Ovis aries: one gene and its partners. The protein of the gene in region 1 purifies or fractionates together with the protein of each later gene. This does not show direct contact. Links are inferred from orthologs where the notes say so. Each region holds a gene or a part of one and is shown on either strand. Other genes may lie near its edges. The genes, in order: SEC13, KLHL12 and NUP160.

Region 1 (3,647 bases):
GAACCTGAGAGTACTATCCAGCGTGCTGCAATGAGGCCTCTGAAACAGGGGCTCATGTCCACTCCTAAAGCCCGAGCTGGCCGGGAAACAAGGCTGGCGTGTCCAGGGGCTGGAGGAGCTGGGAGGGAGGGACCAGCAATGACCCACGCGTGGACCTGAGCGCCTGTTCCCTCTGGAAGGCAGCACACTCGTCAGACACGGTTGGGTCAGGCAGAGGCTCAAGCACACCCAGCTCACCCAAGAGCTGAGTCCTCTGGGCCGGACAGGCATGAAAAGAGCCCAAGTCTCCACCAGCAGCCTCTGTGGAGGGCTCCCCTTCTCTAGCCTCCGTCCACGCATGTTGGGCAGCGCCAGGGCACTGCGGCCTCCTGGGCTGGCACCTCTTGGAGTGAAGGGCAAGGGGGAGGGAAGGGAGGAGACGAGAACCCTGGGGTGTCTGTGCCGCACCCGTCAGTCTCTTGACAGCCCAGGGACATGCTGTCCCCTAGGGTTCTGGAAGCTAGATTGACTACAGCCAGGCAAAGAAACGCTGCCACTTTGTGGCCACTGCCCAAAATAATTCATTAAAACCGTGGTTTCAGGCAGTTCAAATTCACCAGGCCCTTGGGAGCTGCAGAAGACAGCTGCCTTCAAGAAACATTACCTTAGTAGCTCATGGATAAAGAATTCCAAACGACCCATTTTCCAGTAGTGGGTTGCAGAGAAAGATTTTCCTCCACTGCTGTCAACCTTAGTACAGAGAGACATGGTCTGCATTCCCAATCAGCAGAAAGAAGTCACCCGGACACCAACCTGGAATCCCGTTACACCCTACAGAAGGACAATCCTTACGGTGTGAGAGGCGACCCCAGAGAGCACCCGGAAGGAAGGGAGCCTGCCTGCTCTGCCGGGGGAACGGAACTGGCAGACCTACTCGGCAGAGCATGATGGAGGTCGGTCAAAAATTCACAAGAGATCGACTACAGTCAACTGAGAAAAAGACCTGCTGTCACAGGGCCTGTAGACACCAAATATGAAAAGATTTCCTGCGCGCCAGTGTTCACCGCACCATTAGTTACAAACAGAAAAATGTCAAACACTGATGACAGATGAACCAGTAAAAAAGAAACGTAGTATAGATATACTCTGGAATAATTACTCATGTCTAGGAACAAACGGATAATGCCAATTGCAACAATGTGGATAAACCCAGAGATGACCGCACGAATTATCTAATCCAGACACAGACACACAAGTATTTTATGCTTTCAATAATAGGTGGAATCCAAACACTGTTATAGGTGAACTTGAAAGAGCGTGTCAGTGAAGAAAGAAAAACAAGGAAGTGTTAGTGCAGGGTACGGTGGGCAGATAAATGGGAAGGCTGGGATTCTATAACTCCCATCACTAAAGGAGACAGTCGACAAGACTCTACTGCAGCGCAGAGAACCCCAGTGAGCACTGTCCTAAGCTATCCAGGGAAAGAACTCCAGAGGAGCTATGTGCACACGCAGAGGGGACCAGCACCCAGCAGTCTGAAACGGACATGACACTAAATCAACAAAACGTCCAGATAAAAGAGAGGAAGAAAGAAAAACCTCAGAGAGTATTATCTACTGTGTTGCGATGAGGCCTCTGAAGCCTGGGGTGATGTCCATCCCTGGAGCCCGAGCTGGCTGGGAACCAAGGCTGGGGCGGCGAGGGCCGAGGGAGCTGGGAGGGAGGGGCCGGCAACGACGCCCTCCTGGACCGGAGTGTCCGGTCCCTGCGGAAGGCACCGGAGCACCAGATGTGGGACATGCCGAGCGTTAAGCGCACCGAGTGCGCCCACAAGAGGTGAGTCCTCTGGGCGGGAAGAGGTCTTGCTGGAGGGCTTCCCATCTCTAGCGTCTGTCCAGAGACTCAAGTCCACCCACGTCGGTCAGCCACCTATGTGCTGGGGTTCGGCAGGGGTTGGTATTTTGGGTGTTGAAGGCTGCCGAGGAGGGAGAGAGGAGGAGGAAGCCCTTTAGTGTGTGTGCTGGCGCATACTGTCCCCTTGACAGCCCGGGAATACGGCTTTTCCTGAGCTTCTGGAAGCTGCAGTAACCGCAGTTGGTCAGGAAGAGAGGCTGCTTCCTTGTTGTCATTTTCTATAACAAGAACTTTAAACCCAGTGCTTAAGGAAGGGTCATATTCGAAAGACGTGTTTGCTTCTAAATGATACCTGCTGTCAATTAAAGACTTTGGGTAGGTAATGAAAACAGGGCCCACTGTTAATAAGGTAATTTCAAAAGGTACATTTTACTCACAGTGTGAAAAAAGATATTCAACCTAATATCAGAAATTTAAATCAAGGTGTAGAAATAACAAATACAGGAAGAGTGTTCAGAGAAAATGGAACCCTTGGAAGATGCTGATAGCAGTGCAATGAGGCTAACAGCCTCTACTGAGAACAGAATGTGGTTCCTCAAAATACAGACAGACATATTACTGGGCCATTTCAGTCTCTGGCGAATAGGCACAGCAAAGCATGACTGCAAGAGGCATGACCACCGCCTCATCTACGCAGCAGACTCCCAGAGACAGGATACACTTCTGGTTGCCAAGATGGATGGGGTCTACATGAGGGAAGGATTGGGGATTCAGGATTAGCAGATGGAAGCTGTTATACACAGAATGGATTAGCAACAAGGTCCTACCACGGAACAGAGGGAACTCCATTCAGTATTTTGTAACAAAGCACCATGGAAAGGAACACGGAAGCAGCATGTATAACTGAACGACTGCTGTGCAGCGGAGATGAACACAACGCTGTAAATCAGCTATGTGCCTCAACAACAACAGCACTATGCTAAGTGAAACAAGCCACTCACAAAATCAAACCCTTTACAATTCTACTTCTAGGAGGTCCTAGAATGGTCCATTCAGAGACAGAGAGCAAAATGAGGGCTGCTAGGTGCTGGCGAAGAGGTGGGAGGCTTGAATACCACACAGACGAGATGGTTGGATGGCATCACTGACTCGATGGACACGAGTTTGAGCGCGCTCCGGGAGTCGGTGATGAACAGGGAAGCCTGGCATGCTGCAGTCCATGGGGTTGGACACGACTGAGTGACTGAACTGACCTTATTGTCTCCACCTGAGACCGCCAGGATGTTGGCTGTGATGGACCAGCTGACATGCCATACGACGTCGTTGAACTTGTGCAGCAGCTTGGGAGACCACGTGCTGCCCGAGGCATCGTCGCAGGTCCAGATGAACACTCGGCCATCCTGGGGAAAGAAGGCCCGGGTCAGGAGGTGGGGGCGGCAGTCCTCCCCGGTGGCATCTTCTCCACCTGGATCTGTACTGGACCTTTTCAGGAACACGGGGAGGGAATCAGGGCAAACCACAGCCAAAGACCTCCTGGGTAGACCTCCTGGGTGTTTACAGCTTTGACAACCAATTTCCAGCCCAGCGTCCCTGCCTGTATCCCTTCAGCCCAGGAACGCACTTCAGGTTGGTCAGGAGTCTCCCAGGTCCCTTTCCTCACACCAGTTTCAGGGATGGACTTTGTCAACACTGCTGTTTCTCAAATTTTCCCTGGGACTTTCCCACATGTGCCAAGTCACCTCCTGGGTTTGGTTTCCAGTAGCCCTGTACTTTCTCAATGCAATGGGTATAGGTGTTTAAAAAGCCAAGCTCAA
Region 2 (4,332 bases), on another chromosome or scaffold:
AAAACAAATTAAAACACTGGTAAGTAAAATCCGATAGCTGACATCTGTGTTTGCTACATGCTGGACACTGTTCTAAGCACGTCACATGTAAGTTCCTCAGGTAACTGCCACAACACCATGTGAAATGGTGTACTACCATCATTCCTCATTCTGAGATGAGGAAACTAACGCACAGTCAAATGGCAGATGTTATCCAGAGTCTGCCGTTGAACACCAGGCTATAGCGACTCACAATCGTACAGAACTTCCACTGTCTCATTCAGCGGAATGAGATGCCCACGAGGTGGCCTGTGTGGGCTCCACCTGTCAGGAGCCGGTCCACCACGTACCTCGCTGGTGAACATGGCGCAGAAGTAGTCGCTGCAGGCAGCCAGCACGATCCGGTGGGCGGGGAAGTCCTGCTGCTCCACCCTCAGCGTCACGTCACAGAGGGTGTTGCTCTTCCTGAGGGAGTTCATGGAGTTGAGGATGGATTTAGCGTGAGTGTTTGTCATCATGTCCTTGGGAGCCATGATGCCTCTCATCAAGCAGCGTGGAGAGCGAGTGAAAGGGGTCCTTGAATTCTCTAAGAAACAAAGCCAGGGAGCACGTGTGAAAGCCTGGGGACACTGCATATATTCAGTTAGCTTTACAAACAGAGGCGGCGCCATCAGACTCAAACATCCACAGGTAGAGCACACGCCTCTTCCTGGCATTACCAACACAACCCAGCCACTAATTCCCCTGAGTAAATCGGATCCCTCCTCCCTCTGAACTCCCCTTGCCATGGAGTGCCCAAACCACCCGACATAACTGCCGCCAACACCCTGCTGCAAGGAGAAAGAGACTATTCCTCTCTCACCTATCTTCACAAGGCCGCTCTCTCTCACGGTGAAAGTCAGAAGATACAATTTCTTAAAGGTGTGATGTCACTATTTTTAATACCCTAAAGGAAATTAAGTAGCTGAATATTTATAGAGGGTGGGGACCCAGTTTTATATATATGTATCTTTTTTTTTCTCTCCCAGCAAGTGTATAATAAACGTTCAGTAACAGAATGCAAGAAAGGAACTGCACCTTCAACCTAGAGCAAAAGGGCCAGTATCAGTGAAAATAAACTTTTTCTAAAGAAGCACCCAATTAATTATTTATGATGACTTCCAACTATATTTGGATTTGTTCTTAAAATGAAACCTCAAATGAGGACCCAATGCATGCCTGCATGCTAAGTCACTTCAGTCATGTCCGACACTTTGTGACCTTATGGACTGTAGCCCGCCATGATCCTCTGTCCACGGGGATTCTCCAGGCAAGAATACTGGAGTGGGATGCCATTATCCTTCTCCAGGGGATGCAGTACCTACACTGAATAATGGAGACCATGCAAGCTTAAGCTACTGAAGTTCTATAGAAAGTCCACCTACTCTAACTATTAGTATACATTCATCAATATTAACAAATTAGTATTTGTAGTAATTCTTCTATACTATGAGAGAATTACTGGGATAGAAAACGTATCAAAACACTACTACTAATTTTATGGCCACAGCCAGTTACTTGTAAAGTTCACTGTATGCATAAATTAAATGAACTCAGTAACAGGCTACACGTCAAAAAATTAATAGAAGTAATTTCTTGATTTTTGACAAGCTTCAGTTAAGTTATTATTTTATTTTTGTTTATTTGCTTCAAGGACAATTTCTGGGGAACGAAATTGGAAGGTGACTAAGAGTCTGTCTTATGTGGAATCCAAAATTTTCTGTAAGGATCCAAGAAAATCAAATCAAACTATGCTTTTCGAAAATCCACAACTCACAACCATAGTTTTATACGAAAAGGGAAAACGAGCCCCTAAATCCTCATCTACTCCTGTTTATGGGTAGCGCACTATTCTTTACGGTCTCCAGCCACTCCACAGGACCCGTTCTACAGGAAAGGAGGTGGCTCATCCAGGCGTAAGACGATATCCAGAAAGGCCTTCCTGCAGTCAACTTCGTTTCAACTCTGGAGACTGAGAAAGGCCCGCACGGACGCCGCTATACGGGGAGGACCCTGGGGCGGCGGGTCGGAGCCGGCTCTGCGCGTCAGACAGACACGGCCCCAGCGTGCGGCTGCCCGCTCCCGGGGTCCCCGGCCGCGCTCCGCCCCAGGGCACCTGGTCCGGGGCCCCCCGCGAGCTCCCCGCTGGAGGGGCCGCCTCCCGGCGGGCGACAACAGCAGCGGCGCCCCCCTCCCCGACAGCCTCCTGACGGAGGTCGCGGCGCTCGACGCCTGGACGCCCCCGCCCGCCCTGAGGGGACGGCGGCGGGGGAGGGCACCGGCTGCCGCCCCCGGGCCACTCACCTGCGCTCCGGCCCGCCGGGCGGGCGCGGGGCGAGCGGGCGGCCCGGGAGGTGCCCAAGCGCCGCCGCCCGGACCCGGAGGCTCCGGCGCCGCGCCCGCGGCCGCGCGCCGTGATGACGTCGCGCCTGCCCGCGTCACGTGCGAGGCCGCTGTCACGTGACTGCGGGCGCCGCGGGCGGGCCTGGGCGGAGCGGGTGGACGCGGCGCGAAGGGGGCGCGGGCCCCGGCACGGGTGCGGCCCGCGGCCGAGACTCCCTGCGACCACCGACCCTGGGGCCTCAAGACGCGGAGACCCGAGAGGAGTGCGCAGGTGTCCAAGGTAGGGAGCTGGCCGCAGGGCGCGTTTCACCTGACAGGCGTTCAGGCGCCCTCTCACGTCGAGGAAACCCACCGAGGCGCCCCGTTTCCTCCCGTCCATAGTCCGCAGTGGCCTTTTCGGGCCGACCATCGCTGTGATGAGAATCCCGGAGCCCCGCGACCACGGACCTCGGCGTTCTCTGCGTCACAGTCGCGTCTGTGGCCACCGCCGCGCGGTTCTCTGCTGCTTGCCCTCCGAGACAGTTACGTGGAAGGGGCGTGCGGCCCTGGAGGCGGGACTCCGCCAGGGAGACTGCGAAGGACCTTAGACGTCCCGGGGGTCCTCCGGCCCCCTGTCCGCTTCTGCTGCCTTTCACAGCTCCTGGGTGCTGAGCGTTCTGCTAGAAATTTTGCTTCTGATTGGTTTTGGCGCACTTATCTCAGCGCCTGGGAAGGGAATGAGGTTTCTTGATACTGTTCCTTTGCAGGTTCAAACCAGCTGTACTTGAGTGTACCGTTTTCCACTGTGGTGCCTTTGATTCTTCAGGGATAATAAAACTATGGCCAAGCGGGTGGCAGTATCGTAGTCTAATTTTGTGTAGTGTTTCCATCTCTCATGTAGTATCTCTGATCTAAAATGCTCTTGATTTCCGAATTTCTGAGTGCAGGACTGATCCAGGTTTTACTGGGGGCATTTTGTAAAAGTTCGCCAGAATGATGAATGCAGATATCCTTTAACAGCGATTTTTTGGGTATATGTATCCTTTGTATATTCTCACACACATGAAAAAGGATGTGTGTACAAGGTTGTAGATTGGATTGGGGACTGTTTCAGTAACGTGTGGTGCCGCCGTACAATTCAATTCCACGAAGTTGTGAACAGTGAGTATTCTTTGCCATTAGTTGTGTAGAAGGGAAAGATACAGTCATATTTGCCAGTATATGTATAAAAATTGCAGTTGGAAAGATACAAAGTAGAGTAGCAACAGAAATTTCTTTGGAGAGAGGAACTGGTTGTTTGGGAGACAGGGTGGGAGAGATTTTCTCCTCTACGTATTTTTGTCCCTTTTGAATTTTACATCATGTGGACTTAATGTATGTATAATTTAAATAAAAACAACCCCTTGTCTTCTGGCTGCAGAATAGCATCTAGTTGCTTTAATGATATTGCCTAATTCCTGGCTGCAAGCAAGGACACTGCCAGCAAGAAAGCCAACACACCGAGGGGCCTAGTCAGGCTGCTTCTGTTTTCTTCAAGGGTACAGCCCTAACATGTTTTGAGTCAAGTCACGGGGACACCGTCCTAAACTTTGGATATCTGACTCGGTACCCTGCAGCCCAAACTGATTCTGAGTTCTTAGGTCCGTTGCTGGAGGGCTGTGTCTGGATGAGGTGAGTGGATCAGTCAGGTTCCACACACTGCCCTGCCTTGGTGTTTGGACGCCTGGGAAGACTCTGGGTGTTGACAGCTACTGAAGGGTTTCAGTAAGGGAAGCATGGATGTGTTGTGGAGCTCTACATCAAGTACATCGAATGTGGGGCAAATCTCGAAACCAGTTAGGCAGAGGGTACTGCATTGTTGTGCCATCAGAGCGTGGCAGACAGGAGAATGTGCCTCATAATTATGGAGTGTAATCACAGCAGGGCCCCAGCTGCTGCTTTGAAATTCATCGTGAATTTGCTCCCAGCCCTAGCTCATGCCCCCAAGGGCTG
Region 3 (3,647 bases), on another chromosome or scaffold:
CCAGATATCCTGCAGAAGGATTGCCGTCTTCTGAGATGTAGAAGATGGGTTTTGGACGGGTGTTAAGTAGTTCTTTTAGCCGTGCTATTAAAGTGTCTGTGTAGTTGCATTTTGACAGTGTCAAGTAGGCATTGAAATTTATAGGTTCAGAAGAAAGACCTGTGTTAGAGGTGCAAATCTCATTGATTTCAGAAATATTTTTGAGTGCCTAATATGTTCCGACACCAGTGCTAAAGAATCTCCCTGCCAGTACAGAGGATACAAGAGATGTGAGTTCGATCCCTAGGTCAGGAAAATCCCCTAGAGGAGGGCATGGCAACCCACTGCAGTATTCTTGCCTGGAGAATCCCAGGGACAGAGGATCCTGGCAAGCTCTGTAGGGCTTTGGGTTGCAAAGAGTCAGACTGAAGTGACTTTGCAGACACACAATGTGTTCCAGTGAATGTTTAGGGACTGGGAACATAGCAGGGAATAAAGCAGACAGTCCTTGCTCTCAGCAGAAGCTGATCAATAACAGTAACCCCAAAAAACAGTAGTTCATCAGGTGATATGTGGAATGGAGAACAGGGAAGGGAGAAGGGGAATTATTATGTTTAATATTTCACATAGGGTAGTTGGGCAAGACCCAGTGATAAGTTAACATTTGAGCAGAGGAAATAAGGGTACCCAGGGGGTGAGATTTCAGGTAGAGTCTTTGAAGAAAAAGGGCAAAAATCCCGAGACAGGAGCTTGTGTGTTGTTTTCAAAGAATGGGAAAGGGCCAGAAGTCTGCCTCTTGAGAGAATGAAGGATGGAGGAATAAGGTAGCCAAGGGGCAGATTAGGGCTTTGTCAGTTATTTCAAGGCTGTGACTTTTACTTTAAGTGAGAGGAGGGTTTTAAGTGAAGAAGTATTATGAATAACAGTGTTTTTAAAAGGTGCTTGTCTGCTGTGTTGAGAACAGAGTGTAGTAGGAAGGGATGGGAGCAGGGAGGCCAATTAGAGGTTGGTGCCACAATCCACACAAACGATGGTGGCGGCTTACAATGAGTTTGGTATTGTTAGAGGCTGTGAGAAATCTTCTAATAGTGGATATGCTTTAAAACTATTTTGTTAGAATTTAGTGTTGGATCAGATGTAGGGTATATAGAAAGGAAAAATTCAAGGGTGAACCCCATGTTTTTGGCATGAGCAACTGGAAGTTACAGAGACGCCATCCATGAGTTGGGAAAGAAGTGGAGGTGAAGCAGATGTTTTCCTGGTTTGCTGGGTCCAGGAATTCTGTTTCGGACAGGTGTAGTTTGAGATCCCTGATGTACAAGTGCAAGTTTGAGGCAGTAGTTAGGAGGTGAGTGGAGAGTGTGGGCTGAAGAAGATACAGATTTAGAAATCATCGTCAGTCAAAGCTGTTAAACCAAAGGTGATCGCCCATAGCAGTGGTCCGCAAGCTTCTTGGCACCAAGGACCAGTTTCACAGAAGACAATTTTCCCACAGATCTGGGGTGGGGGGACTGGTTTCAGGACGATTCAGGCACATTACATCTGCGGTGACCTTGGTTATTGTGACATCAGCTCCACCTCAGATCATGAAGCGTTAGATCCTGTAGGTGGAAACCCGCTGACAGAGAGGAGAATCGGGTAGTGCAGTAGATGAGATCTGGTTAGGACACGGCCAGCATGGTGCTGTCTGTGGTTCTGAAGCTACCGCATAGCAGAGGTATACGTGAGCAGGAGTCTCTTCCTGCTTCCTAGCAGGAGGAAGCTTTAGAAGGGACTTATAAGATCACTGTAGTTTGATGGCTATAGTGATTATATGTAGAGGCCATGTTACACTATAAGTTGTGAGTGTGTGGTGTGAATTTTAATCCTAGTGGAGTTTAATTGAATTGACTATTGTTCTAAAGGTTTCCCAGGTGGTGCTAGTGGTAAAGAACCCGTCTGCCAATGGGGGAGATAAGATAGACCTGTGTTCAGTCCCTGGGTCGGGAAGATTCCCCCTGGAGCAGGGCATGGCAACCCACTCCAGTATTCTTGCCTGGAGAATCCCGTGGACAGAGGAGCCTGGAGGGCTGCAGTCCATAGGGTTACAAAGAGTCAGAACTAACTAAAGCGACTTAACACTTTGTTCTAAACATACTATCAAGTTTGGAAATGTCTCCATTTAACAGAGAATCATATAATAATAGTTGAATTGTATATAATGCTGTGTTTTGTAGACTATACAATGTGGTTTGGAATGTCAGAATTGATTTGAGTTTGCTTATCCAAAATTTTTGAATTAGAGTTCACCTGAAAACTATTGTCATACATTTCCATGCAACAATCAGAAAGAAAAGTGTAAACTCTTTTTTTTGTTGTTTTTTACAAATGTCTCTTTTTAATAGGAAAACCTCTGGAGATACATTGGAGCTGGTGGAAGAGTCACTGGACATAAATCTGTTGAATAATGCAGTTCGCCTCAAATTCCAAAACTGCGTCCTTCTACCCGGAGGAGTTCATGTCTCTGAGACTCAGAATCATGTGATGATCTTGATATTGACCAATCAGACCGTGCATAGATTGCTTTTACCACACCCTTCCCGGATGTATAGGAGTGTAAGTTGGTTAAGTATAATGTCCTTTATTTCTCAGATTACTTGGTCGCAAATTTAGTATTAGAGCAGTGTCCTTTGGAACTGAAGAAAGGATGGATTCCTGGCTAGCCCTAACCAAGCACACTTCCGTGCTGGCATTGTTGTTTAGTCGCTAAGTCATGATCGGCTCATTTGCGACCCTATGGAATATAGCCCGCCAGGCTCCTCTGTCCGTGGAATTGCCCAGGCTCTTCTGTCCATGGAATTACTGGAGCGGGTTGCCACTTCCACCTCCAGGGGATCTTCTCCACCCAGGGAACGACCCCACATCTCCTGAATTGCAGGCAGATTCTTTACCGAGGAACTGCTGGGGAAGCCTCATACTTTCCTAGTTACTATTTAAAATGATCAAATACATTCTAAGTTGCAAAAATAGTTTTATTAAAAAGAACAGCTTCTTTTTTCAACTCAACAATTTTTTACTTTAAAAACATTGATAGCAATTGGGAGGAACTGAGCAAAATTCATTTATTTTGTTTTTAACAGATTTTTCTTTTTCATTTCTCCACAGGAGTTGGCAATCGAAAGTCAGATGCAGTCAATATTCACTGACATTGGAAAAGTTGATTTTAGGGATCCTTGCAACTATCAGTTGATCCCGTCAGTGCCTGGCCTCTCCCCTGGTTCTGCCGCCTCAGCAGCCTGGCTGAGCAATGATGGGGAGGCTCTGTTTGCTCTGCCATCTGCCTCTGGGGGGATCTTTGTTCTTAAACTACCTCCTTATGACGTACCTGGTAAGAACGGGAATGCAACATGGATTTAATTTCAAACAGATACTGGCATTAAGACAGATGTTAGAAGTCCAGGGCCGTTATCCAGTGCAGGAACTGCTTCCAAACCATCCTAAATTCATTATTACTTTCCTAATGAGTCCCTAACACTTCACAGTTTTTCCCAAGAGGGTGGGATTTTATACGGTGAATGAGGAACTGCAGCTTACTGGAATATAGGAAAACAGGTGGCTATAAGGTGGCCTATTCTAAGGCCTTTAGTAGAGATGAGTTGCCTGATGTCTGTTTTCAGTTTGAGGTGCTG

The links.
Region 2: the proteins of SEC13 (region 1) and KLHL12 purify together in Homo sapiens (affinity purification with mass spectrometry; 3 studies listed by BioGRID and IntAct, with this or other methods). This does not show direct contact. The link is inferred for Ovis aries from reciprocal best matches to the Homo sapiens genes SEC13 and KLHL12.
Region 3: the proteins of SEC13 (region 1) and NUP160 purify together in Homo sapiens (affinity purification with mass spectrometry; 4 studies listed by BioGRID and IntAct, counting the BioPlex papers as one, with this or other methods). This does not show direct contact. The link is inferred for Ovis aries from reciprocal best matches to the Homo sapiens genes SEC13 and NUP160.

What each region holds. Positions count from the first base shown.
Region 1 is NC_056072.1:54,305,110-54,308,756, forward strand, and holds part of SEC13 (protein SEC13 homolog), read right to left. Parts: intron 3,234-3,647; coding exon 2,886-3,233; 3' UTR 1-2,885. UniProt on the Homo sapiens protein: Functions as a component of the nuclear pore complex (NPC) and the COPII coat. At the endoplasmic reticulum, SEC13 is involved in the biogenesis of COPII-coated vesicles.
Region 2 is NC_056065.1:79,286,428-79,290,759, reverse strand, and holds the start of KLHL12 (kelch-like protein 12), read right to left. Parts: upstream 2,841-4,332; 5' UTR 2,714-2,840; intron 2,438-2,713; exon of another isoform or gene 2,323-2,437; intron 926-2,322; exon of another isoform or gene 842-925; intron 566-841; 5' UTR 525-565; coding exon 330-524; intron 1-329. UniProt on the Homo sapiens protein: Substrate-specific adapter of a BCR (BTB-CUL3-RBX1) E3 ubiquitin ligase complex that acts as a negative regulator of Wnt signaling pathway and ER-Golgi transport.
Region 3 is NC_056068.1:76,487,755-76,491,401, reverse strand, and holds part of NUP160 (nuclear pore complex protein Nup160), read left to right. Parts: intron 1-2,363; coding exon 2,364-2,574; intron 2,575-3,123; coding exon 3,124-3,346; intron 3,347-3,647. UniProt on the Homo sapiens protein: Functions as a component of the nuclear pore complex (NPC). Involved in poly(A)+ RNA transport.